7 linked regions of the Coturnix japonica genome follow. The protein of the gene in region 5 purifies or fractionates together with the protein of the main gene of each other region. This does not show direct contact. Links are inferred from orthologs where the notes say so. Each region holds a gene or a part of one and is shown on either strand. Other genes may lie near its edges.

Region 1 (4,016 bases), on a different chromosome or scaffold from region 5:
CACCAGTTTTAATTCATTCATCTCACCAGGACACAGCATATCTTTACCTGTTTCCTAATAAGAAAGTCCAGTGTTTCTCAATAAAAGCACAGATATCTTCTTTCCATCTGAAGTACCCCTGACGGCCAGTTCCTTCCAGAGACAAATTGTACATTGCCAGCATGACAACCTGGAACAGAAAGCAATGGAAACCAGTGCACCTTTTCTGCTTCTCCTGGTGAGCTGCCTTATGATGCCATGCACACACACACCTTTGCAGCCTCATAAATATCTTATTTTTGCAACACCTCTTAAGCAATTTCTGCAATCTTTCTCTTTCATGCTGTCTTTCCTCATCTCTCTTTCTCTTTCATGCTGTCTTTCCTCATCTCTCTATCGTTAAATGAAAATTCTTCTGTCTTTTCCCCCCACCAAGATTTGACCACCGTAGGAGAATAAAAGCTGCCTAATTATGCAGGTTTATGAAGAAACACAAACTTCTGCAGAGTGGGAAAAACTGATCATATCGCAACTGGGACCTGAATGCAGCGTGGAAGTCTAAATAGTCTTTTTCAAAGACAAAAAGAATTGTGATGAGCAATCCCACCACCTTATTCATCAGAAACATAGCAATCAGAGTCTTCCCAGATAGTTACCGTTGCGTACCAAACTGAACGCAGGTTAAACTATGTAGAAATCACATGTCATCTACTAATATTTCTTGGTATGCGGCAATTACGTTTGTCTCCAAATCACAGAATGGCTTGGGCTGCGAGGGACCCCAAGGATCTCCAAGTTCCAAGCACCCTGCCTGATAAAGATGTTGAAGAGCACCAGCCCCAAGACAGACCCCTGGGGGACACCACTCGTTACTGGCCTGCAAATGATGCTCTCAGAATTGACCTTCATTGAAAAAATCCATTACAGCACTTCTACATGCTTTACAGCCTAATTCAGTCCAACCAACTATTGGAAAGGTTTGGAAAGAACCACATCTCTTTGTGAGTAAATCCCAGATGACCAACTGTTAATTATGCAGAATCAATTCCATACTTCAGACAGGTTTGCTCACTTCCCTCAATTCAACGTACCCCAAAGGAGCAGCACCTGCACCCTCCTGGGAGCAACACACGCATCACTCTACCCACGCAGTGGCTGCCGTATAATGCAGAATATTTTGATCGCGCAGGCGTGTAAGTGACTGGACTTGCAGAATCCAGCAACAACTACTGTTAGTAAGCAAGCAGCCAAGTTAGAGCTTTGCATTCAGGGAACTGGCAAGCTTTCTGTTTGCGTGCTGCCACCTCGCTAGCTTTGCATTCACTCCTATATACAAAAAACTGTTCGTGCCTAGAAGCTACATTGCATTTTGCTTTTCCACATTCGCCTGAAGCCATGCAATTCATGAGCAACATGAATGAGGAGCGAAAAAGGAGAGGAATGTGGTTTGTGTGATTATCTTGCCACTTACTTGCCAAATACTCAAGCTCTAATCTGCAGGCAATTCTCAACTAATTAATTTCTGAAGTTCACTCATGTTTGTCATCTATATCCAATCCTCCTTTTCTAGGTAATGAATACATAACAAACAACAATTCTATAAAGTGCTGGCACGTTTTCCTGGCACAAACAAGGTACTTACTTGTTGCCAAGTTAATCTCAGCCGTTCAAATTGTTCTTTCCCATCTTCTGAGCAATCAGAGCAAGTAAATCTGAAAAAGTTATCTCCTTTGAGGTAGCTGAGCTGTTCTCTCAGTTGACCTAAAACCAACAGACAAAAGATCAAACTTTCAGCCCTTTCACGTGAAGGAAAGCTGCAATGTAGCATCATTTTAACAGTACTGTGCTGGCTCTACTGTATTATTAGCAATGCTCACACCATGCCTTGCAACATTTCTACACTAAACTTGTGGCGAGTTTTAGGATGGCAATAAGGGCAGCCCCGATGCAGCTGCAAAGCAGATGTCAACTGAAGAGTTCCATGATTCTAAACACAGAAATAAAAACACAACAGCAAATCGATAACAAAACAACAACAAAAAGCAGTGCTTAGCAACACTTAGGTTTTGGATCTAATAATGTGTCCATTCCAAATTCCAGCTGTCCAGAATTTCAAAAGTAAAGCCTGTTTTTTAGCTAGCACCATACATCTTATGTCAAGCAGCAACAGCAAAGGAATCAAGTTATCTAGCTTACTCCAAGCACCCCCCAGTGCCAGATGCTACAGGTTGGACACGCTTCTGCAAAAGCTCAACTAAACTCACATTATCAGAAAACAAGAAACAGCAAAGCCAGCCCTCTTACTTGCTGGAATCCACTTCTGGCACTTCTCGCAGTAGTAGGACATCTCCTCCATCCAGGACACATCACCTTCATCGCTGTTCAGTGAGTCTCCGCTCTGGTCGTGGGATAAATCCACCGAGGCCTGGTCCTCAGACTCTACAATCAGAAGGGTTTCCCCTTCCACCTCACCCTCCTCCAGACCCTCCGACGTCGAAGTCCTCGTGGCTTCATCATCGTGTCGGCTCAGCAGCCCGCTCATGTGGACGTTATTAGCCATCCTTCATGGCCTACAGCAGCACAAGGAGCCTGTCCTCCCTACATTCACACGTCCATCCACACTGGCTGTGTCAAGTCTCCACAAGTACTAGTGATGGAAGAAATATTCTGCTGTGCCCTATGGCTTCTGGTACAGGAATATAATGTGTCTGAAATAAACAGTCTTTCACAGGTGATGTCTGTTTACTGAAATACTTGAAAGTAATTAGAATTCAATTGTCCCAAGTGCCTCGAATCAAACCTCTAACAAGTCAGGTCCCACCTAGGGCTGCTGGGATCCCTTTTCCACCAGCATCTTGTCTCTTTCTTCCGTAAGCCGCTTCGTCAAAGCGATCTGCTCTTCCAGCAGGCGAATGTTTTCCCTTTTCTGACTCTGTCTCTCCAGATCTCTGAGCACACCGCTGTGCAGCCTCTGGAAGCACAAGGGACAGGGTTCATCACTGCCTGTTTGATTAATAAAGCTAGTAAACCACCTCTGTGAGGCCAGCTGAAGACCTGTTTACATTAAGCCCTTCACTCCCAAGCTGTACCTTGCATCTGACAGCGCTAATAATAAGCCAACAGACCAGAGGGCACCACACGGCTCCGGGCCTGCCCGCCCGCCCTCACTCACCTCACGCTCCCGCCGCTGCTGGACGTGCACGGCCGCGATGGTGGCGGCGGAGAGGAGCGCGGTGACAACCAGCACCGCCCGGGAGCTCCTGGACATCGCCGGGCACCACACACCGCACGGCCGGGAACCGACCGAGCCGCAACCAACGGCACAACGCGGGGAAAGGCGGGACAGGCTGTGAGGGGGAAGAGCGGCCCGCCCTGCAGAGCGCTGAGCGCGTCGAGCAGCCGCAGCCCTGAGCAGAGGAAGGACGAGAACGGCAATGGAGCCGTGTAATGGTATAGCAGTGGGAGCAGGGCGGTGTTCGAGCCCCTGTACTCAGCTCTGGTGAGGCTTTGTGGTCAGTGCTGGGCCTCTCACTACAGGAAAGATACTGAGGCCCTGGAGTGTGCCCAGAGAAGGGCAATAAAGCTGTGAGGGGTCTGAAGCACAAGGCTTACAGAGAGAACTGGGATTGTTCATTCTGGAGGAGACTCAGGGGTGATGTTATTGCTGCCTACACCTGCCTGGATGGAGGCTGTGCTGAGGTGGGGGTTGGCTTCTTATCGCAGCTAATAGCAATGGGATGAGAGGGAATGGCCTCAAGTTGCACCAGGGGAAGTTCAGGTTGGATACTCCCCTAAAACAGGTTAATCTATTTCCAAGTAGAGCGTGGAGGTGCTGCGCCATAGTCAGCTTTGGTGATGGACCTTCGCTGTGAGGAGGTGGCCAGGGCACATCCCCTGTGTAGAACAGGAAAACTGAATGCATAAAGCCAGTCCTTCCTTGTTGTAATCTTCTTCATCTGTCTGCTGAACAAACGTGATTAAAGTGAAAGGTAAAATTAGTGAAAATGATAGCATTTCAATTTAGTATAATAGTTTTG
Region 2 (3,500 bases), on a different chromosome or scaffold from region 5:
CCTGCACGGAAGTTTCTTCCTTGCACACTTGTGCTGTTTTATGTCCTTTCCTCCTATTTTTAGACAGCTCTGGTTTACTGATCAGCATCCTTTTTTCACCTTCCTGCATTTACTCTGATGCCTGTGGCTGCTTTAATTGGCTTAGACATAAAGCCTGTCAGTACAGCCCATCTCGGTTTATTCTAATGTTTCTATTTAAATATAAATACACCAAAGCTCTACAAATATTTTCTTATGGCTGAACATACAAAAGAATGACTTGTCATTTCTTCAGTAACTTAATTAAGTTTTAGGAAGCAATATCATATATTTTACCAGACAGTGTCTCCTATGTAAATTCTCTGTGAAACTTATGGAAAAATAAGCTTTAATCTCTAACAGTATGAAGCACTTCAAAGACAGTGCATATGGGGGTTCACAGTTACATAGGAAAATCTATGCCTCTTTCCTACTTATGTATATAAAAATGTCTTTGCTGGTAACACAGCCACTAGTTGTACTAATGGGATCCAGTCTACCAGATGGATTTAAGACTGGTTACATATACAGTCAGTTGTGCCAGGTGGTATATTAAAAATAGCAACAGTGTGAGTTATGTTGAAATAAAATAGTTATTCTAAGTAGCTCATAATTAAAACTGATTACAGATATATTTCTTTGTAATTCAGCCAGCATTAAATTAACCTCGATTTAAATATGCAATTCCCAAGACATATATGAATTGCAATTCTGTTAATATTGGGAGGAATATCTAGCTAAAACATCGAGAACAACAGCTATAAAGATAATCTGGTCACAGTAAGAGCTGTAGGCTTTCCGTATAGAATCCATTAAGCATTTCCTTTTTATTTTTTCCTGTTTTCCACCTTGGTCTGACTGGCAACATCTGCAGAGCATGTGCATCCTCTTAACATTTTTTTTTTAAAGCTACTCTTAAAAATACTTTTTTTTTTTTAATTAAAAAACAAACAAACTTAGATTGCAATGAAGATTAAAATCTGGCTAGCCAGTTACCTTGATTACAATCAATAACATTGCAAAATTCCCTGACATTATTTTCATTGATCTCAGCTTGTTTCCTCTTGATGAAGGCTGATATCCGCCTGTCAATCTGTAGGTAACAAACATGATGGCATATATCTATTTCATTAGTTATATTTAAAATTTAGAAAGAAAAAAGATCTTTTTTTCTAATACAGGGAAACACTTACTTCTGCTTTTCCAGCTTTTATTTGGACCACCTCTGGATCAAAATTAGTATGCGCATCCTTCAGATCTCCCAAGTCATAATTTGCATACTTTTCTTCAGTCTGAGAGTTACTATCATAAACATTTAAACTTGTTTCACAACTTTGGTCTTCTGTTTTACCTGCAGGTTCAACGTGACTTACACTTTCCTCTTTAATCAGTGGCTGGAGTTTTTCTAAAAGAGGCTGAACAAAGAAAACAGTACATTAGGGTTGCGGGGTGGGGGGGGGATGGAAGCAAATGGAAAAGGCTAAGAACTACTATAAACTCTAAAACAGACCGACTTTTAGGAAATGAAACATTTGCTTCCTACAGTGGATGGTAATTTAAAAAAAATAAAAATATTTTAACAATTTGTACAGGAAAACTCCGAAATTTCTGAGAAAAATTAAATCAGTTACTCACGTGTTAGTAGCTAAATCAAAAGCTTCTATCATTGGCACCAGTGCCACTTAACTACCATGTCATTCAAATGCCTACTCAGAACTGTAAGGCTTAGTGTTCTTCCTTCTTAACACGAAAGCCAATGCTTTCACACTGTAAAGCCTTTACCTTATCAGCAGAGCTCTACATTCTCCACTTGAAACTGCAGTTGCCCAAGTGAATGAGAGAAAACAGACATGAAATATATTGGTATTATCCAGAACACATGCTTTTCTTGACATGGCTGATTATCTACTTAGGTCATGAAATTAAATGAGAGAATGCACACTAACATTTGTAGCAGCAAAATAAAAGCTTATTATTCTACTGCAGTAACTCTTCCACAAGACGTAAAAACAAAACCTTGGTGTATATACATCTGTATATATAAAGTCACAAATCCTCATTTTTGTTTTTACCAGTTTCAACCTAACTAAATTTACTTCAGTTTTCCCTCCAGAAATCCAAGTAATTATACCACAAGTAATTTTTCCTTGTTTATATCTGGCTTGTTTTCTCTTTGTGTTTATTCCAAGAAAGATATTGCTTATCTGGGAAACACAAAGGGATTTTCCTATGCCTGCAGACAAGCAAGTACAGAAACTTTATTTATTTTTCGCTGTCTCAGAACTGCACTCTTGAAATAATTTGTTGACTCGCTGAAGGGAAAATGGATATTCAAATTCCCACCTTTTACGTACCAGCTATCAAAGTCAAAACACTCTCAGATACCAGCTGATACCACCATGCAACAAAATTATAGCTACTTTTGACAGGGTTGGAAAGTTTCACATAGCTAAAAGAAATGACAGTAATAGTGACTGGCTACTTGGCAGGATGAGACGTTAATGTCAAAGAAATTACTCTTTAAAAAAAACAAAAAAATCTACGCTGAAAATATATTTAATTGCAGTAAGACACTCCAGGATGTGTCGTGCTGGGATAATGCCACTTCTTGAACCACTGAAAGCACTCCATGAGCCTCAAAACTCACCCAACGCATGGAATCATTATCATAGCATGACACACACCTGCCGTGTCTTATTGCTTAATTATAACCCACCATAGATGGAAATGTATCACATTTACAATGCAAGTCTAGAAATCAATGAGGCTGCATTTATTCAGCCTGCTCACCTACAGTGGCTATTCCCACCATTAACCCAAAAAATCTGTAAGTGCAGGTACCTATGAAGCATACCAGGATTTCAAGTGTATAATACTAGTGGACTCTTTTTTGTTGAACATAGCAGTAAGATCAAAACAACTAAAATTTTTCAGTTTAGGTAATGTGGCTACATTCGGTTGTTGACCACTTTAGTCAAGTTGAAGGTGTCCAATGTAATATTTACCTGCAGACATAAAATATGCTGCTGAAGTGCACTAAAGAGCAATGTTGGCTGAAGTGCTGATGTGCTCTGAAGCTTGCTCCAGTCGATTACAACTTTCACGACATCATCTCCAAGGTTAAGCTTCCACGGGGAAGAACAAACACCACAATAAAAAAACAACCAGTACATTATGCCGTATTAACATCAGAAAAGCAAACAGGGCACCTACAGGACAGCAATTATGCTCAATCTCATGCAGACCCCACCTTTATGTGAGGATATAGAATAGATTTGACATTAATTATAATTCAAGTAGCCATCACTTTCGAAGATAGTATTAGTAGAATATGTTAAAAAATTAGAAAATCCTAACTATCTAAACACACTCACTGTATTAATTTGACCTTAAACTTTGGTAAGTTCTCTATTCAATTAACCACTGTGCTTGAGCATACAGCTTATGTTAATCACTCAAATATTTTCTTTAACAGATAATAG
Region 3 (4,087 bases), on a different chromosome or scaffold from region 5:
TAACCCAAAAGGAATATTTACCATTATCTCGTAAGTGTGATCACTTTGGTGTTTCTTGTACTCAAATCCTCGTGTGAAACACTGCAGAACGAAAGATGAGCATTATGTTACTCTCTTCTGCCCTGAAAACATTGTGACTGGCATTTTTCCCCCCTTACATTCTCTGACTACTGCTTATCCAAAAGTGACCGCCTGATATGCTGAAAACAGCATCTGCTTTTTCTGATGTGAAATCAGAAAAAAACGTGTAATGGCAGAACAATTTGTGTTATAACTTTGAGGCTGTGTGGTATTCTGGTCTTGTACACCAAGACCCAACTCGTGTGCAGCTCCATGCTTTTTGTTAGGTATTTATAGCCAAGATAGGCAGGATAAGAAACTTGGTGCTATGTTATGTGTCATTCCTGGAAGGGAGCACAGAGCATTCTGCAGTATTGAAAGTGCAGTTTCCTTTTGGAGTTTTGATAAAGCTCCCTTTTTGGTATTAGAAGTTGTTGCCATTTTTTAGTCATAAATAATTAAAACAATCCTTTCTGTGGTGATCTGATCACACGTACAATTTGTAAATAACTATTATCTGGTCAGAATTATTGTCTATATTGCAAACTTCCTGCTGATTTTCTTTTCCATTTGGGAGGTTAAAAAAAGAAAAGAAAGCTGAAAAGGGACAGGGAGAGGGTGTTTTTTGATGGATTTTCTTTTCTGTGCCATCAAAGTGACAGAAACAATACTTCTGCAGACGTGCAGTGGCATGCTGTGTTACAGTCAGGCCTTTGGCAAGCTCTGGCTGCCTTCACAAAGACCTTGCTCAGCTGCTCATGTCTCAGTTCTTCAGCCTCTCATATTTTCTTTGTCATTTTCCTCTCCCTGAGCAAATAACTGTGTTGATATGAGTTTATGGAGACCTGTTATTAATGTGTTTATGGAGCGGCATGGCACTGGACAGCCTTTGATGAGTTTCTCAGAGAAATGAATGTCTTTGCTTTCATCCTTGCACTCACCTGCAAGCACAGGAGGAAGGGAGGAGGCCCACACTCCGCACACTTCACGTAGGGCTCGATGAGGTACGAAGAGCAACCTCTGCATGGAGGTTTATCGAAGGGGTCATCTGCAAAGCCAGATGTAAATCTCATGCAACACAAATGTGGCACTGCTTTTGCAATCACCCAAATTCACTCGTGTCCAGCAATTCAAAACAAACTCAGCTGTATGCAACCTCTTCCCTACTGATAAAAGTTCATTCCTGAGCTGGAGTTCTAAGACAGATATTGGCATTTAAACTTTGCTATGGACCTGGTCAATTGAGGGCAACTTGTTCGATCACACTGGAATCAAGGAACAGCTCTGCAGCAGCTGTCTGGTGCTGCTCAGCAGTGATGGCAGCTGTGTGAGCTGTCTGACTTGACTCAGTGCCCAGGGACCCAAGGCTTTATGGAGAATATTGCACAGACAGCAGCACTCTCCCATCCATCCTCCCTGTCTGACTCAAAAAGCATATTGCTGTGGTTGCAAAGGCATTGGCTCGATTGTTCTGTAACCTGCCCAAACCTCAGGCTGCTGAACAAGGAGTGCGACACTGCTCTGCAAGTTCTTATGTTGTTCACTGCAAAATAGTCTAAATACTGTCTTAAGCCATATTTGTTTTTAAATGCAATTTAAGTAGTGAAAAGCAGACAAACAAGATCTGAATGGCCTCCAAATCATTCCCGTCCTCATGCAGCCGAGGATTTGATGGATCAGATGCTTCTGTTGCTGTCTCCCTCCCCAGTTCAGACCATGGTGAACACCTCCCTGCAGCACTGTGGTACTCACTGCCGAAGGAGGCCAGGCGCTCCATCCTCTCCCTGGAACACGGGCTGCCCCAAATGCAGATCACTGTGTCCAAAGTGGTGTTGTGGGCTGGAGAGGTGGCTGAAATCCTCACAGCATCTTTGAGTGGAGAACAGTGAGCAGCCTGTCACAGGGACTGAGGTGGGGTCAGGCCCTGCTGCCCCTGCTGGGTGAGAGGTGATGGCTTCTCGTTGTGCTGGAAAGGTCTGGTTGGGTATGAGGAATAATTTCTTTATTAGAGCAATNTCAGCTGCCGGCACTATGGGGGGGGGGGGGGGGGGGGCACCATCCCTTCAGGTGTTCCAGATGTGGGGATGTGGGGCTGAGGGACGCGGTCAGTGTGGGTGGGTGGGGGATCTTGGAGGTCTTTTGGGACTGAATGATTCTGTGATTCTGAAGGGGTGAAGTGGTGGCCCTGCCAGGCAGGGGGGCTGGAACTTCATGATCCTTGAGGTCCCTTCCAACCCAGGTCATTCTGTGATTCTATGGGGACACACCCCAAGGCCCCAGCAGACAGTGACACAAGTGATGGCGGTACCGGGAACCCGGGGGCGGACTGTCTGTGTCAGGCACATTTGGGCACTTTGCTATTAATTCTGACGGGCGCTGCTCCCTGCGCTCCCACACGGCGCCCCCGCCCCGCTCTGCAGCACCGTCCTCCCCTCACCGGAAGGCGGCGCCCTTCCCGCCCCGTGTCCCCGCCCCCTCTCCAGGCCGTGAGGTGAGCGGCGGGATCGCGCTGCCGCCCGTCCTCCCGCTCCCTTTTCCTCTCCGCCGCAGTTTCCATCTCCCCCGCCCCGGATCCGGCTCCTCCCCGCCGTGCTTCGCTCCCGACTTCCCTCTGGCCGCTGTCGGGCCGCGCCCCGCCGCCTCTCACCTCACGCCGGGGCAGTTCCCGCGCGTCACGGCCTTCGCGAGGCCGCGTCACCGCCGTGCGCGTGCGCTGAGGCGTTGTACGTGCGCGGCCCCGGCCCGCTCCGCCCTCAGAGCCCGGGGCGATGCTGCGGGACGGTGTCAGTGCCGGGCAGCGGCGTTGTGCTGGGCCTGCAGCGCACACACAGCGATTGAGGACGTGTTATGAATTTAATTGTGCGTCCTTTAGAGCTGCTCTTCTGGCCGAGGCTCTGACTGCTGCCCTCTGTGTGCTGGTCCCCCCCTGAGGGCTGTCACCTCGTCCCCATTAGTGATAGGACCAGAGGGAATGGCTTCAAGCTGCGACAGGGGAGATTCAGGCTGGACACTACGAGGTATTACTGCTCAGAAAGGGTGGTCAGGCACTGGAATGGATGCACAGGGAGGTGGTGGAGTCATTGACCCTGGGGGTGTTAAAGGATGTTGTGTTGAGGGACATGGTTTAGTGGGAGCTGTTGGTAACAAGTGAACGGTTGGACTGGATGATCTTTTAGGTCTTTTCCAACCTTGGTGATCCTATGATTCTATGATTCTGCTGCTGGCCTGCTGCTGATGTCCCATTTTGTGTGCAGCTCGGCAGCTGTGATGGTGGTTCAGATGACATGCAGTGCTAGAGGGACGTGTTCTGAGGCTCACAGGTTGTTCCCATTCAGTCCTACAGATTCTGAAGTGTTTAATCCCTTGCATGGGAGCTGAAGGTGAGAGCTGTTCTCTAACAGACAGATGCAGCCTTTGGCAGTTCATATCTGGAAGGTGAAGATGGCATTGAGATATTAAACAGGGAATAAAGTAGAGATTCAGTCTGTGTGAGCACATGGAAACCACCTCAGACCTAAAGCTCACAGTGAATATCCATATTATTCCTTTGAGGCTGGGGGAGGTGGAAGTCTGCTGTTGTAGGATGAGTTCAATACATGTATGCTCTGAGCTGTTTAAGGAGACCAGAAATATTGGAAGCGATTTATTTTTCCTTCTTCCCAGGCCCTAAATGAGCGTGTAAAAAATAAATAGTTGAGGGAGGCAGACTTTGGAATGTCAATGAAATATTTATTGCTTATGCCAACAGGTCTGTCAAGTATCTGGGAATTAAAGCATGAATCCAGGTAGTTAATGGAAGGAATCAGCATGTGGGTGTCTTCACAGCACCTCGTTTCACAGTGAATTGATGCCATTGCTCCTAACCAGGTAAATGTTGCTTCTGATGTTAAGTCTGGTTTCAGTCTGCAGCAGTTGAAGCTGTGGTTGTTTAAGCTGCTGATGTTCAATCTGCTGTTCCCAGTAAGTGGTGAGGAAGAAGATGATGCATTTTTTAGGTAAAAACAGTGTTTCTCTAAAGCCTGCAGCA
Region 4 (3,997 bases), on a different chromosome or scaffold from region 5:
CTCCTGGCGCGGCGCCGCCGGGCAGCAATGACGTCACGGCGGGGGGGCGGGACCTGCCCCCCGCTCAGCCAATGGGGGCAGCGGGCGGTCAGTGCCCACGCGTGACCGCGGGCCGCGGAGGGGCAGAGAATGACGGGGACAGAGCGAGGGGCGGGAATGGAGACATGGGACGGTACCGACACCAGCACAACCCCGCAGCCCCCAGCACCGCACGGCACACCGGCAGTGCCAATGCTCCTTTATTGCCCTCACCGCACAACACACGGTACAGCCCCGTCCCGCTCCCCGCCGCTGTCCCCGGCTGTTCCCGGCGCTAACGAGGCCCGGCCCGGCTCCCAGCCGTGTCCTGGCACAGCTCCATTGCCCAGAATAACCGCGGCAGCGGAAACCAGAGGGCGGCTATGGCTGCTCCAGGGATGCTCTCGCCCAGTCCCTGCGGTTCGGTGGCTGCGGGTTGGGCCAGGAGCAGGACCCAGCCCCGTGCACCCCGTCCCGACCCGCAGCGATCCAGGCAGAGCACAGGTACAGCCGGGAAGCTCCTGTGCTCACAGCGCCTCCAGTCCGTGAAATAAAGGGATGATGGCAGCGTTGTGCAGCCCAGTCCTGTCCCCCCGCTACCCATCCAGCAGCTTGAGGATGCTCTCACGCTCCTTCAGCGTCTTCCACGCCTGGTCCTTCTCCTTCTTGGTGGGGGTGCGCTTCTTCTGCCTGGCCGCCATGATCTTACGGAAGGCGTCCATCACCTCGTTGTCGGCCATGCGGACGCGCTGCCGCAGCTCCTGCCGGTGCAGCTCCTCCTTGGCCAACCTGGGGACACAGAACATCAGTGGATGCTGCTGGTGCTCAGCCGGCCCCATGCCCTGCCCGCACTCACCGCAGCAGCTCGTGCTTCTTGGCGCGGTTGTGGGCGCTGAGCGCCTTCAGCTCCGCCTGCCTCTTGCGCAGCTCAGCCAGGACCTCATCCTCCGAGTCCTCGGCGGGACGGTCCTCAGACTCCAGCAGGCCCTGAGCCACCAGCTCCTCCTTGATCCGCCCCTCCAGCGACTTGGTGTGGGGCACGCTGTGAAGAGTAAAGCGGATGCTTCCTAAGCGTTCTGCCCCGATTTGCACAGGGAAAGCAGCAGGCAGCACTGCAGCAGCTCACCTGAAGGGCTTGTTCTGGCTGCGTGGAGAAGTGCCAGCGCCATCGGCTCCTGAGTCCTTGCCAGCGATGTCGGGGATGGGCGAGTCTTCCACAGGGGAGATGATGTTTTCCTGGCAAGCAGAGCACATGGGAAAGGTTCACCTCGCCCTGGCAGCACCTCGCAGGGCCACTGCACAGACCTGAGCTCCCTCACCTCCACCAGGGCCTGCAGGAGACGCTGTGTCAGGGGTCCAAAGGGACATCCATCCTCAGGCTGCTCGTGCTGGGCCTCTGACTTCTTCAGCAAGGCGTCGACATCTGAGGGGATGCAGGAGACAGTTGTGAGCAGCCCCGGTTCTGTGGGAGCTGGATGCCAGCCCCCTGGTCTCACCACACAGCTTCAGTGCAGTCCATCACAGATAGGGGATGGGACAGCACCTTTGGTGTCCAGCTCGGTCAGTGGTCCCAGAACACCCTTCTTTTTGTCAGCCGCAGCCGCTGCCCGGGCTCCATCCTTCTGCTCCTCCAGCAGGTCCTCCTGAGCCCAGCGCTGTGAGTAGTGCTTCCCCAGCGGTGGGATCTGCAGCACAGGATGGGCCATCAGCACAGGGCTGGGGTTGTGCTGAGGAGCCCGTGGGTCAGCACCACCCCAGAGGACACGCACAATGTTCACAGTGGGGTGTGAGTTCTTAGCCTGCCCAGGGATGGACAGTGCAGGGCAGAGTATGGGGTGAGAGAGCATGGGCTGGGGGCTCTGCAGCTTGTCACCTTGTAGTGCTCAGCCTCGTCCTCTGGCGGTTTGAGCAGCTCCTCCAGGACCCTGACCTCCTCATTGGTGAGATCGGCGCAGTACGGCTCCACTGATGCCCAGAACCTGCGAGGCCAGAGCAGAGGAATGATGGTGATGGGGAGCTGTGATGGACACTTTGAGAGCAGCTCGTGATCTCCTGCACTACAAGGAAGGAAACATCCAACCCCAACACCCCCATCTCCCCATTCACCTGTTCGGAGCATCGTTTTTAGGGATCCTCGGCACATCGATGGGGTCATCCTGGAACTCGTACTCCTGGATCTTGGGCTGCAGGTTTTTAGACTTAGGCCTGCCGGGCCCAGGCCCCGTCCCGTGCCCCCCTTTACCCTCCAGCTTCTGCTTCTTGGGCTTGCCGTGTTTGACGGAGGTGCCCACGTCGTGTTCCTTGCTCAGCTTCAGGAAGCGCCGGTCGCCCTTTTTGTCCTGCCAGTCCGTCAGGATCTGGAATAGAGGAATAACGTGTAGGGTCGTGTGTGGGGCGGTGATGGGGTGGGGGGTCACAACACGGACACGTTACACGTTACACGTTCCATGTTCCACATCCCACACCTGTGTCTCTGCCTCCAGTACCCGCAGTCTGCGGCTGGCTGAGGACAGCAGCGTCTCCAGCTCGAGCTGCAGCGTGTCCAGCTCCTCGATCCCGATACCATCGTCCTCGGACCGGGCCAGCACGGCCGTGTACCGCGGGCACACCTTCACGTGGTCCACAGACTTGAAGTCGTGGAACTGCAGCGGGCAGTCCTTCAGCTCGCTCATGGCGGCACCGGGTCGGAACCGGGCGGCGATAGAAGCCTGTTGTCCGGTCTCTCGGTGCCGCCCGGAGCTCGGCGGGTCCCGGCGGGGGGCGGGCAGGGGGCAGGGCCGGGGGGGGCCGGGTTTACATTGGGCCGCTCGGCTACTTCCGGCCCCCGCCGCTTCGCCCCGCCCCTCTCTCCCCATTGGCTCGGCCCCGCCCGGTGCACGCAGCCGATTGGTTCGCTCGTCTCTCCTTCTTCCTTTCCTAATATGGAAGCGCCGTACGGAGCGTACCAAGAGCGGCGGGATCGCGGGGGGGGTCGAATCTCGCGGGGTTTCGCCGCCGCCTCCAGGCGCTGCAGCCGCGCCCCGTGACCGGCCGGATATACACACAGATACACATATATACACATATATACATATACACGGTGTGGGGGGACGGGACGGAACGGGGAACGGAACGGGAACGGAGAGAGAACAGAGCGCCCCCACACAGCTGCGGGTTGGGCCCTCCCGAGCATCCAGGAAGAGACAGCCGGCCACTTCCGGTTCCGCTTCCACGGACCGGACCGGAGCCGACACCATGGTGGGAGCGGGAGGGAACGGGGCGGGAGAACGGGGCGGGGGATGGGGGTGGATGTGGGTACGGGGATAGGGGGGGACGGGGCTGGGGTGGGCCCGGTCCCGGTCCGTGACTGTGCCGTGCCCCTCAGACCGCCACGCTCCGCCCGTACCTGAACGCGGTGCGCGCCACGCTGCAGGCCGCGCTGTGCCTCGAGAACTTCTCGTCGCAGGTGGTGGAACGGCACAACAAGCCCGAGGTGGAGGTCAGGTACGGGGCTGTAATGTGTGTCAATGGGGATGGACACGGACACTGCCCGCACTGTGTGTCAATGGGGATAGACACACGGACACACGGACACTGCCCGCACTGTGCCTGCAGGCACCGAGCGGTTCCATGCTGACCTTCCTTTGCTCCCCCAGGAGCAGCAAGGAGCTGCTGCTGCAGCCCGTGATCATCAGCAGGAACGAGAAGGAGAAGGTGCTGATCGAGGGCTCCATCAACTCCGTGCGCGTCAGCATCGCTGTCAAACAGGTGGGGATGGGCTGGATGGGGGCTGGGAGCTTGTGAGAGTGTGAGGAACCTCGTTTCCCTTTTGTGTCTGCAGGCCGATGAGATCGAGAAGATCCTGTGCCATAAGTTCATGCGCTTCATGATGATGAGGGCTGAGAACTTCTTCATCCTACGCAGGAAGCCCGTAGAGGTGAGGGAGTCCCAGGGACCCACAGCGCAGATCTGGACTGCACCATCACTGTGCTGCACTCCC
Region 5 (3,500 bases):
GAGTGCTGCAGGGACAGGACAGAAAAGGAAAGAAAAATGTGGAAACAAGCTTGTGTCCATATAGCTTATTCTCCTTCCTTCAGGACATGAAGAGCTCTGAGAGAGCTTTGGGCACCACCTGTGAAACTCACTTGCACAGTAATTTGCCCCTGAGCACAAACCATCGACTCAGGGTTCTGAACACCTTACTAAGAAACTTTGTCACAGCTGTATCCCACACCTTCACAAAGACATCTTTCACAGTGTGAGGGCTAATAAGGAAGAAGTTGTAAGCATAGTTAGGGCTTTTCTCAGAAAATACAGAATTCAATATAATACTCTATTATAATAAAAAATAAAAAATCCAGTTTCAGTTGTCCCAAGTTCAGAGCCAAAAAAATGGAAACCCTTAGCCCTTCTGTGCTCCAATATCTTGCCCATCCGTGAATCAGAAATAATACCATACCTCTCATTTTATTTAAAAAAAAATACTATTTGCAAAGTATTTTGATATTAAAGCAACAAAAGCCATAATAATCACATGTGATTCAATAATTCAATATTCAAAGTAGAAATCAAATAATGTGTTCTAAATGAAGTTGAAGGCCATGCAGAGCTAAGTGTTCTGAAGAGATGTTTACTAGGTGACTATTGTCCAGCCTGTACACTAAGCAAGGCAGCACTCCTGAGGGAAAACTGCATATAATGATGTAATTTCATAGACTATACTGCATAATAAAATCAAACTGGAGTTGCAAAGAAACTTTCAAACTTTTAATGCTTGACAGTATATAATGCCAATTTACTTTTCAGTATTATTTCATATAAAACATAATGCAGAAGAAAGGACTTAGTTTGTTGCTTAGAAGGCTGCTCTACCTGACCAAAGTTTTAATGTATCTTTTGGAACAAAAACAGTAACTGAAGGAGAGAGCGGAGAGAGGAGGAAGCCTTGGCAACCTAACAACACCATTAAGTCTGTCGGTGTCAACTAATGAGGCTACCTCAATATTCCAGTTGTTTTGAACTGAACTTTAAACTGTAAATTTTTGCATTCTTATATAGATGGTTAGCAGAAAATAAATGTAGCTGGCCTAATGCTTTTAATAAGATGAAGAAGCTGTTCCAACATAGCAAACAGTCACAACAAAAACCCTGCAAACCAGAAAAGCTTATCTAGAGAATGTCTTTTCTTTCATATGGTGCATGACATGGCTGACACTGGGACAACACAGTATTTTAACAGTGAGTTTATTTTTTTAATTTCACATAAACATTATCTTACAAAACTGTTTCAACTTCTGCAAGCATTACTTGACAGGAATAAGAAGCTGCTACCTTTTCTCTGTAGTGAAAACCAATTAAAACAGTCACACTCACACTGTCCTTTCCTTGGCCTGAGGTGAAGGAAAAAGATCTCCAAAAATCGGAGAATTATTTTCAGGGAATCACTGGCAAGACAGAGTGCAATGCCAAAATAGAATTCTGTAGTGATATAACCTATCTGTAGAGTTGAATTTTCATTCTATAAATGAGGAAAAGTTAGCATGCTTATTAATTTTCATACAGCATTCTACATATTCTGTGAAACCTGAGGAATTGGAAGGAGTGAATTACCTGGGTTGTTCTGATTAAAGATGAGGAAAAGCAGACACTGTGAACAAGAATCATAAAACCACAGTTGGCGAACTAAACAAAGCCTTTTTAGGAAATTCCAACCACGTTATCTTTGAAAACTTCTTCACTCGGCAGAGTGCAGAGCATCAGCTTACCTTGAATCCCACATGCTGCACAAATCCACTCTCTGCATGCATCTGCTGTAGTTTCTGTCTCTTCAATTTTTTAAACTCTAACAGTTCTTTGTATTCAGGTAACTCACGATATGTTATTGGAATACTCTCTTCATCCTGTTCATGGTTAAAAAAGAGAAATACTATTTACTTTAGGAATGTAACTAGAGAGATATATTTCACAAAGCACTAAGTATAACTATCTTCTGAGAAAAAGCTGGCAATGTATTCTGAGAGAAACTGGGAAATTATACTTAAAAACAGAGCAAATAAGTACAAACAACTAACTTACATTTTATTTTCTGCAATTAATAATTATTTGCATTATACCAAAATGTTACCATGCAAACAAGTTTCTTCTGGTGAACAGATTTGCTGTAGGGTAAAGAAGACAGCAGTGCCTAACTGTAAGATCTATATTTATATTGTTAAATCCTACATTTATATTTTTAAAAGACCCATATATCAAGACAGTACCAAGCTTTAGTGATATGTACTTTTCAATCAATAAAGCCAATCTTAACAGTATTAGATTCTCACCTTTACCTGTAAGAATAAAAAGTGTTGAGAAATATCATTCCATGATGATAAGAGCAGAATTTTTCAAGTTATTTCATCTTGTGACCACTCCTAATTTCCTTAACCTCATGCTGCCTTTTAACAGCTTGAGAAAATGGATTTTTATTTTCCTAAATTACAAAACCAATTTATATCCCATAAAACTTTGACAAAGACTTATAACACAAAATTCTCTTTTTAAATAAAAAACAATTTCTGATTTTTCTCATCCAATTTTCTTAGCAAAGATTGAAGACCTGTTTGCTATGAGAAGACAGAAATTCTCAATCTAATTCAGACGTCTACTTCAAGATGGCTATTTAATTGCAGCAGCTGTACTTGGTAGATGTCAGATATCTTCAAAGATGCACAGTCCATATGTATGGGCTATAACTAGTAGGCTCGTTCAGTTACAACAAAGAACTACAAGTAATAGTTCTCTGAATGTAGCCTACACACATTATTTCAATTCCCTTTTAAAAATCTATGAAGCTTGAAATCTCTGCATTATTTAATGAAAAAGGCATGCTCTTAGTGTTAAGTATTTTTCTAAGGGTCATATCAAATATTTAATTGTAATTCTTAAAATATTTAAAGTCTAGACTGCAAATGCCCTGAAAAAAACCTCAACAAGGTTAAATGACACAATTACATTTTGTTGTGATAAACTCCACTTTTTCCCCATAAAATAATAATAATAATAATAATAATAATAATAATAATAATAATAATAATAATAATAATAATAATAATAATAATAACGACCTTTTATGCAAATATAAGTTTCACTAAGAAATAATGCCTGGAATAATATAATCACATATTGAATAAAATACAACAACTCCTTGTGTGGACACTTGATTCTGGATTAGTACATTGTATTCTAGAATAATTAGACCATTCACACGATGAAGTAATTTTAACTGAAAGTTAAACTCTATCTTTTGATAACAGAGGGTCTTCACTGGAGAATAATTAATTCACACTATAAGGGTGTTTGAGGAATGGTTATGTCAATCAGCTGGTAACGTCCAGACAAAATCTTTTGTTTTTACAAGAAAACATCACCTGGTACTTCTGTTGTGAAGAACTCAGAGAAAACTTTCCCTATAATTTTCTAGCTAGACCAAATATCTTCTTGACCACGCCAATGCACTGCATTTTTCCCTGAGA
Region 6 (3,500 bases), on a different chromosome or scaffold from region 5:
AACCCTTTCTTGCGTAAGACATGGGAGAGGTATTTCTGACAGGCAAGTAGCACCAGTGGGGCCTTTCTGAGAGCAGCTGCTGCTGCTCATGGGAGCTGTTTCCTGTCTTCATGACTCAGGAGCCTTAATGTTGGTTGTGGAGGGGAAGGTTTTCCAGTGAGCTTGCAGGAAGCTTATTGTTTCACATTTGGAACTGAAGTGCTTCCCACATCTGTTAAGAAAAATGTGTTGAAGATGGATCTGTGAAGCGATTAGTTTGGAGCACTTTAAATGTCAGGTGCTGGCTGGCTGTTCTGCTTCCAAGAGCCTGTCTGTCAGATGGGTTTTGCTTAACTGTTATAAAGCAATTGTTTTGTACTGGTTTGAGGCTTTTCTTTTTTGTAAGGTTTTAAATGAGTCAGAATGGGCACATATCATTGTAACAGTTGAATTCTGTTGGATTCAGTTAAAATCTGACAGCATTAAAAAAAAACAACAACCAAAAAAGAAATCTGAGCGCTGTAAACAGCTGTATTTCTGTCCATATGTCTTCTGGTTAGTGGGAAGTTGTAATTTTGTGGTTTCTTTAAGAGGGGAGGGTGTCTGATAGTTCAGTGTGATGTTACAGATGGTGTTCCAATGACTTACACTTGCATTTCTTCAGTCACTTTAAAAGTGGTCCATATGTGTGCTGCTCTTAAAAGGGCTGGCCATGCCTCTAACCTTGTCTTCACACCTCCTCCTGTTTGCTGGCAGTGGTTTGCTCTTGCTCACCATGTAGCTACACAGTCCATCTGTTTGAAAGATCAGCTGTTTTCATCTGTATGCATTGGCACAAGGAAGGCAGGAGTACTGATTCAGCATCTTGAGGGCTGTGTTCCAACCCAGGGATGGACTAAATGGTCATGAAACCACAACCACAGACTTCACACTGATCTTAAAATAGTACAGTTCTTTTAATTAAACAGAATATAACCATTCCATAATTCCTCAAGTGCATTTGACTCTACAGCTGCAAATTCAAGAATGAAAGATGCACCATTTTGCAGATGTCCAGTTGGGTATTGAGTACCTCCAGTGCTGGAGAGTCCACAGCCTCTCTAGGCAACTTGTTCCAAAATTCAATCACTACTTATGTTTAAACAGAATGTGTTGTGTTCTAGTTTGTGCTCATTGATTCTTGTCCTTTCATTGCACATTATTGAACACTGTCTGACTCGGTCATGTTCTCACCCTCCCATCAGTTATTTGTGTCCATTGATTAGATGCCCACTCAGACTTGGCTTCTCAAGGCTAACATATGCCTGCCTCAGTATTGCAGCTCAGAAATGCTTTGTGTAAGAAGCTGGTGGACGACCTGTCTGTTTCTTTCATTTGTGTATGATGTGGTAGGAAACAGTTACTGCTGTTGGAGGCATAAATTGACAAAGAAATTTGCTTTGTATGTTGTACTAAGTATGCTACGTTCCTGTTACTTAAGTGTTGCTTGATTTTTGGAAATGGATTTATTTGTACAGGTAATTTGGAATTGCCCAGATTGTCTGTGCCACCCACTATTAGCAATCTCTTGTTTTATTGCTTTTGTTGGACGTTTCACCAATCTTTGTGCCACATCTTCCTATTTGCAGCAGGAGGATTCCCTGTTTGCCACCATGCCACCTCTTTGTCCTATTGGGAGTCATTCCAAGGTGCAAAGCCCCAAATCAGTCACTGGAGGACTTGGAGCTTTTACAAAGGTATTCCTCTTGGCGTTTGTGCCTGGACAAGGAGCCTGGTATTACCATTTCATGCTGACTTGTGCTGCAAACCATGTAACTTCCAGTGCATGTAGAGCTGACTGGAACCAGTGTGTTTCGCTGCCAGGAGCTCTCTAGCACGTCTCAAAAGATGAAGCTTAAATTCTTTTCCCATGGCACTGCTGTTCCTGTGATCTTTTCCTTTCATCATCTCTTTCATCCTTTCTTGTTCTCCTTTTGAGTCACTACTGTACTGAAGCTGATATTTTTAAAGGCTTTGTTTGGTGAGGTTACAATATAAGTAAACAGTAGTTTACTCTTACATTTTGTAATAGTTTCTTGCTAAATGCTGTGGTGATTTCTGGCTGTCAGATGTTGCCATTTGTGAGTACGTTTCCTTAAAAGTTACCATCCTGAATTGAAGGGTTCCAGTAATACTGGGTGATCAAACTGGAAGGTGAAAGAGTCCTACCAGTCATAGCAGTCTGGTGGGGAAAAAGACACCTGCCAAACCAGCAGCCTTTCTTAAGTTGCTGGTCTTAGTGCTTAGATTTATGGCTTGTCCCAGATAAATTCATAACCATGTTGAAATGTACACAAGAGAATAATATAATCTTTAACCAGTTACAGTATCTATACCTGGTTACAATATCTACGGCCATAATGTCAATTATGATTTTGCAAGGTAGAAAAAAAAGGACGTTTTGGGCTGGGAGGTTCTTTGGTATTTGAAACCTCATGGTGTTCTGTCTCCTTTCTGAGATGCGGGATACCATTAGTAGGACTAGTAGTTATAATACTACTGGTACTGTCTGTGTTTCTTCCTTTCTGTAAGCATCTTTCAAAATGGGAATGCTGGCTTAATTACTGACCCCCTCACACGCTTGCATGTTGGGAGTAGCCCTCGTAGTAGATTGGGAGGTGAGTTAGAGTTCACCTGGTGGTATATGAGAACCACATCCGAGTTAGCAGCTGTTGTGTGCCTGTTCTTGCAGGCAGGCTGTTCCGGAAATGATTCCCAGTGACTTAGTTATTGGCTTTTTGGTTTTTGTTTTATGTCAACTTTATTATGTTACTTAAAAGGTGATAATAAAACAGGAGCCAGGAGAGCTGCCCCAGCAACCCCAGGCGTCGGCAGCAGGGCTGACCACACAGACCTCTGTGCAGCAGTATGTCACGGTAAAAGGAAGCCACATGTTGGCCTTGTCACCGCAGAAGCCAGCTGTGAGCACGAGCGAGGGGACAGCACAGTCCAAGGTATGAGGCACTTGGTTGGCTGTCAGCCTTCTGTCTTGCCTTGTAACACCTCATGTTTCTCCTGTGGCCGTGGTGTTGGTTGTGCCTCAGGCACAGGCAGCAGTACCCTAGGTAGCTAGTTTCCCTGTGTACAGAGTTAGCTCATAGTGTGCTTACCTCTTGCCCTTGTGAACAGCACACGCAGACACTGTTGCATTTCATTGCTTACAGAAAACATTTCCCACTCCTCTCTAGCCCTTTGCAGCAGTGAGGAGGAGGCTTGTTTTGAACTGGATCCTGACAACCCAGAAAGTTGGCTGCTGTTACCAGCTTTTGCTGAAGCTCATCCACATTTCTCCATAAAAGGAAGTAAATTCTTTACTTGGACAGCAGGCTTGCAGCAAAAAAAAAAGCAGGACAAACAGGGAGAAGGGGTGAAGGCTGGTCCAGAGCTAGAATACAGTAGAAGTGGTGCTACACAAGTGGTTACAGAACTGCTATGGCAGGGGTGATGCAGCTTCTTGGGAGACATAGTAAATGTGCTGTGGT
Region 7 (4,294 bases), on a different chromosome or scaffold from region 5:
GTAGTCATCCTGCGGCTGTGTGCGGGGCAGAAAACAGCATCAGTAATGAGTGAGAGCTGGGGGCACGGCAGGGCCCATCTCCAGGGCAAAATGTGGCCGTACCCGCTGCGGGGGTGCATGGATGAGGGCACGGTAGAAGCAGGTGGTCTGTGGGTAAAGTGCCAGCACCAGCTGCTCGCGCTGGAACAGCGCTTCGGGGTCGGTCTCAGGGTTGGCCTTCCACTGTGGCAGAGGGATCACACGGCGCCGGCTGAGCGTGTGTCTCCTGCAGAAGGGAGGAGCAAGCAATGGGTACGGGCTGGGGATGGGGGAGATGAGGGGTGTGGAGAGCAGGTTTGGGGGCAGGGGTTGAGAAGGGCTTTGTGGTGTGGCGGGTATGGGGAGGGAGTTCGGGAGGAGCTAGAGGGGTCTGGGGGGGTGCGCCGAGGGGATCTGGGAAGATTTGGTGAGAGCAAGAAGAGTTCTGTGGAGAACTGGGAGCGTGGGGGACATGGGGAGGGGGGCTGTGGGGAGTTGGGGTGTTCTGTGGGGTTTGAGGAGGTTTGGAGGGAGTTAGGAAGAGTTAGGGGGTGATAAGGAGGGAGTTGGAGGGATTGGGAGGGCTTGGAGAGGAGGCTGGGGGCTGCCTGAGAGCGGGGGCAGCTGTGGGGTTAGAGAGGGCAGTTGTGGAGTGGGGGTGCTCACTCTTTGCCCTCCTCATCGATGTCGTCCACTTCATACCTGGGGTGGGGAGAAGCGAGAAAGGAGAAAGGACTGAACTACAGCAAAACAAGGGGAAATGCTGCGATCCCAGAGCACACCACGGCCCCACAAGCAACAAGTGCAGTGCTCCACACCATGCCCCACACCCCCAAAGTGCCCAAACTGCCCCCCCGGCCCCACTCAAACCCCCCCCAACACACACATATTCCTGCTCCCCTCCACACCCAACCTGCCGCCCCCTTGCCCCCTCCACGCACTTGTTGGCAGCATGGCTGTAGCTGACCACCTCCGCCAGGATCCACTGCTCATCGCCGTCCACGGCCTTGACACGTGCCGCCACTTTGTCCCCAGGCTTGGCCACGTAGTCCCCAGCTGCCGGCATGGCACCGCACAGTGGGGGGGGCCTGAGAATGAGGTGGGGGTGGGTTGGTGGGTGGGAGTTAGAGGGTGAGGCTGGGCTGGGGTTTGGGGTTCTGCAGTGCAGTCAGGGGGGTGTTGGCAATCCACAACAGGGGTCAGGGAACAGGGCCTGGGGTTTGATGGGGGGAGAGGGGAGGAAGGGTGAGGGCACGGTCAGGATGGGGTCTGGATGGGGTTGGGTTTCCCAGGGTGGGGCTGAGATTTGCTATGGATCCAAATGTCAGGCATGGGGTTAGGGCCGTGCTTTGGAATCTGAGTCCAGAACCAGAACTCCAGTGGAACTGGGAGCTCAGGGCACAATGTGGGGTATGATGGAGTGTGGGTCTGGGAGTTTAGGGCACCCTGTGGGGAAGAGTGCACTTGTGGGGTCGGGAATACCTACTTGTCACCTGGCTTGCCGATCCAGAGCGGCAGCGTCATGGCTGACTGCTGCAGCAGTGTCATCAGCACGCCACGACGCATCGTCTTGCGCGGCGGCTCCGCGTCACTGTAGATCCCTGCGATCTTGGCAGCTGTGACACAGTGGGGGGGTGGACACAGTGACACCAAGATTGGGAGGGCAGTTGTGGGGGGGGGCATACAGAGGGAGATTTGGGCGTAATTCCAGGGATTTGGGGTGTAAAAATAGAAAAAGAGAGGTCAGGGACACGTGGGGGTCAGGGACACTTGGGGGCTCAATGGAGGCACGTACCAATGCGGCGCTCTTCCAGCAGAGACTTGATCTCAGCGATCTTGTCCAGCGCCTTGCGCAGGATGCTGCAGAGCCATAAGGGCAGCTGTCATGTATGGGGGGCACGGGGCAGGGTGTAGGGTTGGTGGGGTGCAGGGTTGGTGGGGGTGTAGGGTTGGTGGGCTGTAGGGTTGGTGGGGTGTAAGGTTGGTAAGGGTGTAAGGTTGGTAAGGGTGTAGGGTTGGTAAGGGTGTAGGGTTGGTAAGGGTGTAGGGTTGGTAAGGGTGTAGGGTATGGGGATGTGGGTATGAAGGGGCCGCCCTACTTGCACTCGGCCTCAGCATCTGCCTTGGCGGTGGTGTACAGCCCGCGCAGCTTCGTGCGGTAATACGGCGAGACTGGAGGGGGGAGGTAAGAACGCTGTGAAACCAAGTCCCCATCGAACACGCTGTCCCCAAACCCCGCCCCGTTCCCGAGCCCGGCCCCAAAGCTGCCCCTGCCCAACACTCCTCTCTGAACCCCTTCCCCTCCCCATTGCCCTGCTCTCCTCCCAGCCCTGCCCCCTCATCCCCCTTCACGCCGCCCCTCGGCCCGGCCCCGCTCTCACTCTTATTCTCGGTCTGCATCCTCTCGTGCGTCTTCTGGATGTTGATGAGGTTGTGCTCGCTGCGGGACCGCTCCTCCTGCAATGCAGCGGGATGACGGGGGCTGCCCGCACCACCACCCCACCTCCAGCCCCACAGCCCAAATCCGGACCCGTGCGACAAAGCGCCGCCCCGAACCAGCACCCTACAGCCCCGCACCGCCCCCAGAGCGGCCCGATGGTGTCGGTGCGGCAGAGCAGCGCCCCGCTCGCTCTGTGCGTCCAGCCCCGCACCTGCGTGTGCCCCAGCAGCCGCTGCAGCTCGGACAGCAGCTCCGCGATCCGCGAGTCGGCCGACACCAGCGCCATGGCCGCACCGACGGGCCGCGGGGCGCTCTGCGCATGCGTCAGGCGACACAGAGCACTGTGCGTCAGCCCGCACATCGCACTGCGCATGCGTCCCGGTGCAGTTCCGCGCTTTGGCCACACGGAGGCAGCACCGACGTAAGAAACGAGTTCGGCGCTGAACGGAGCCGGTCACGGCAGCGCTGCGCCCCAATGAAGGGATGGGTCAGATCGACCCCAATGAAGGGATGGTACAGATCGACCCCAATGAAGGGATGGTACAGATCGACCCCTGCTGCAAACGGGAACGGCACGACACGGGAGCAGTATTACATGACCATAAACAACATCTACTTGCTGCAGAAAACAAAGGTTATGATAAAAGATAATCAGCATACATGGCCGGGGGTGACGGTTTCCTTGCAGACAGGCAGGACTAGACTGATTTCCTTGTTCTCACATTGGTGGCGGCTCTTGCCTTGCAAAGCAGCTGTCAGATCAATGAGCACAGGTGTCCTGTCTGCAGAAGTCCAAGATGCCTGCAAACCAATAGGAGAACATGGCCTTAAAGATGTGATCGGCCCTGAAAGTTGCTGCTGTTCACTACAACACAACAGTGCTGGTATTCCCTTGTTGACTTTCAGTCCTCTAACAGCTATTAAACTTCCTAATCCATTGTGCAAGCTGCAGCTACTTCAGCACAGATCCCCAGGGCCCCTAACAAGCTCAGCCCTGACTGATAAGCAGTTTCATTTAGTTTTAGTCAGAACTAAATACAAAATAGCTTTCAGTATATAGTAGTGAACAAACTCTCATTTAAGTACAATGAGATCTTTAACTCTGGTGTAGTTTTTAGTGCAGTCTTCTATCAGAAACAGAGTTATTTCCCCTAACCCTGACATACCCAGACCTCTGGGATAGGAAGAACAAGTTTCTGAGTGGAAGACAATTCCACTTCAATAACTTTATATTTGCTCTGACCTGCATTGGTTGTATCATCCCCACAGACCCCCATTTGCAGTGCTTACAGATAGGAGCTGCAAGAGTTCTCAACACTCCAGATATTACACTCCACTAACAAGGTTATGTAGAAATTACCTCTGAAGTTGGCATAAACCAGAGGGCCGTGCCTGTGCACACAAAACTTCCCTCTGCTTTGCATTTTTCTCTAATTCAGAATGAAGAATTTGACTTTACCTGCAGGTGTACAATTAAACACTGACTCTGCCAGCTGAAAGAAAGGTTCTCCAAGGATTTCCCGATAGCTCATGTGAGTTGCAGGAACAAGGGACTGAGTAGCATCTTTGAAAAGCAGATCACTTTCACCATATTTTTGTGAGTGAAAGAGCTGGAATTCAGAATCCAGCTTGGTCCCCAGAAATTCCTAAACAGAAAAGAAGTTCCACAGTTTGGACTACAAATAACAACGTTATGTTGGTGACCATCAGTTTTATAACAAGATCTAACAAGAAAACAAAACACAGATCTACTTTCATCCAGTTATACAACAAGATATGGCTTTGGAGTGGGTTATTTCTCAGAAGTATAATGGCAACCAATGGCCTTTGGAGAGT

Evidence for each region.
Region 1: the proteins of ZZZ3 (region 5) and KAT14 purify together in Homo sapiens (affinity purification with mass spectrometry; 4 studies listed by BioGRID and IntAct, with this or other methods). This does not show direct contact. The link is inferred for Coturnix japonica from reciprocal best matches to the Homo sapiens genes ZZZ3 and KAT14.
Region 2: the proteins of ZZZ3 (region 5) and MBIP purify together in Homo sapiens (affinity purification with mass spectrometry; 4 studies listed by BioGRID and IntAct, counting the BioPlex papers as one, with this or other methods). This does not show direct contact. The link is inferred for Coturnix japonica from reciprocal best matches to the Homo sapiens genes ZZZ3 and MBIP.
Region 3: the proteins of ZZZ3 (region 5) and TADA2A purify together in Homo sapiens (affinity purification with mass spectrometry; 4 studies listed by BioGRID and IntAct, with this or other methods). This does not show direct contact. The link is inferred for Coturnix japonica from reciprocal best matches to the Homo sapiens genes ZZZ3 and TADA2A.
Region 4: the proteins of ZZZ3 (region 5) and TADA3 purify together in Homo sapiens (affinity purification with mass spectrometry; 4 studies listed by BioGRID and IntAct, counting the BioPlex papers as one, with this or other methods). This does not show direct contact. The link is inferred for Coturnix japonica from reciprocal best matches to the Homo sapiens genes ZZZ3 and TADA3.
Region 6: the proteins of ZZZ3 (region 5) and YEATS2 purify together in Homo sapiens (affinity purification with mass spectrometry; 3 studies listed by BioGRID, with this or other methods). This does not show direct contact. The link is inferred for Coturnix japonica from reciprocal best matches to the Homo sapiens genes ZZZ3 and YEATS2.
Region 7: the proteins of ZZZ3 (region 5) and SGF29 purify together in Homo sapiens (affinity purification with mass spectrometry; 7 studies listed by BioGRID and IntAct, counting the BioPlex papers as one, with this or other methods). This does not show direct contact. The link is inferred for Coturnix japonica from reciprocal best matches to the Homo sapiens genes ZZZ3 and SGF29.

The regions. Positions count from the first base shown.
Region 1 is NC_029518.1:13,436,109-13,440,124, forward strand, and holds the start of KAT14 (cysteine-rich protein 2-binding protein), read right to left. Parts: upstream 2,801-4,016; 5' UTR 2,540-2,800; coding exon 2,284-2,539; intron 1,741-2,283; coding exon 1,622-1,740; intron 170-1,621; coding exon 48-169; intron 1-47. Other genes in the region: protein PET117 homolog, mitochondrial, read right to left, coding at 2,801-2,950, 3,152-3,247. UniProt on the Homo sapiens protein: Component of the ATAC complex, a complex with histone acetyltransferase activity on histones H3 and H4. May function as a scaffold for the ATAC complex to promote ATAC complex stability. Has also weak histone acetyltransferase activity toward histone H4.
Region 2 is NC_029520.1:33,099,786-33,103,285, forward strand, and holds part of MBIP (MAP3K12-binding inhibitory protein 1), read right to left. Parts: intron 3,144-3,500; coding exon 3,024-3,143; intron 1,434-3,023; coding exon 1,212-1,433; intron 1,112-1,211; coding exon 1,015-1,111; intron 1-1,014. UniProt on the Homo sapiens protein: Inhibits the MAP3K12 activity to induce the activation of the JNK/SAPK pathway. Component of the ATAC complex, a complex with histone acetyltransferase activity on histones H3 and H4.
Region 3 is NC_029534.1:7,297,266-7,301,352, reverse strand, and holds the start of TADA2A (transcriptional adapter 2-alpha), read right to left. Parts: upstream 2,801-4,087; 5' UTR 2,708-2,800; intron 2,522-2,707; exon of another isoform or gene 2,498-2,521; intron 2,037-2,497; 5' UTR 1,838-2,036; coding exon 1,813-1,837; intron 1,109-1,812; coding exon 1,002-1,108; intron 82-1,001; coding exon 22-81; intron 1-21. UniProt on the Homo sapiens protein: Component of the ATAC complex, a complex with histone acetyltransferase activity on histones H3 and H4. Required for the function of some acidic activation domains, which activate transcription from a distant site. Binds double-stranded DNA.
Region 4 is NC_029527.1:9,002,121-9,006,117, forward strand, and holds TADA3 (transcriptional adapter 3), read right to left. Parts: upstream 2,801-3,997; 5' UTR 2,691-2,800; coding exon 2,484-2,690; intron 2,376-2,483; coding exon 2,125-2,375; intron 1,998-2,124; coding exon 1,892-1,997; intron 1,704-1,891; coding exon 1,562-1,703; intron 1,442-1,561; coding exon 1,338-1,441; intron 1,255-1,337; coding exon 1,145-1,254; intron 1,061-1,144; coding exon 875-1,060; intron 808-874; coding exon 615-807; 3' UTR 196-614; downstream 1-195. Other genes in the region: ARPC4 (actin-related protein 2/3 complex subunit 4), read left to right, coding at 3,253-3,255, 3,383-3,501, 3,654-3,765, 3,839-3,934. UniProt on the Homo sapiens protein: Functions as a component of the PCAF complex. The PCAF complex is capable of efficiently acetylating histones in a nucleosomal context. The PCAF complex could be considered as the human version of the yeast SAGA complex.
Region 5 is NC_029523.1:16,801,520-16,805,019, reverse strand, and holds part of ZZZ3 (ZZ-type zinc finger-containing protein 3), read right to left. Parts: intron 1,887-3,500; coding exon 1,752-1,886; intron 1,634-1,751; coding exon of another isoform or gene 1,553-1,633; exon of another isoform or gene 1,215-1,552; intron 1-1,214.
Region 6 is NC_029524.1:686,961-690,460, reverse strand, and holds part of YEATS2 (YEATS domain-containing protein 2), read left to right. Parts: intron 1-1,607; coding exon 1,608-1,715; intron 1,716-2,798; coding exon 2,799-2,972; intron 2,973-3,500. UniProt on the Homo sapiens protein: Chromatin reader component of the ATAC complex, a complex with histone acetyltransferase activity on histones H3 and H4. YEATS2 specifically recognizes and binds histone H3 crotonylated at 'Lys-27' (H3K27cr).
Region 7 is NC_029530.1:7,882,920-7,887,213, forward strand, and holds the start of SGF29 (SAGA-associated factor 29), read right to left. Parts: upstream 2,801-4,294; 5' UTR 2,745-2,800; coding exon 2,670-2,744; intron 2,476-2,669; coding exon 2,400-2,475; intron 2,191-2,399; coding exon 2,118-2,190; intron 1,879-2,117; coding exon 1,814-1,878; intron 1,635-1,813; coding exon 1,505-1,634; intron 1,107-1,504; coding exon 960-1,106; intron 721-959; coding exon 685-720; intron 266-684; coding exon 103-265; intron 16-102; coding exon 1-15. Other genes in the region: melanotransferrin-like, read right to left, coding at 3,219-3,259, 3,918-4,104. UniProt on the Homo sapiens protein: Chromatin reader component of some histone acetyltransferase (HAT) SAGA-type complexes like the TFTC-HAT, ATAC or STAGA complexes.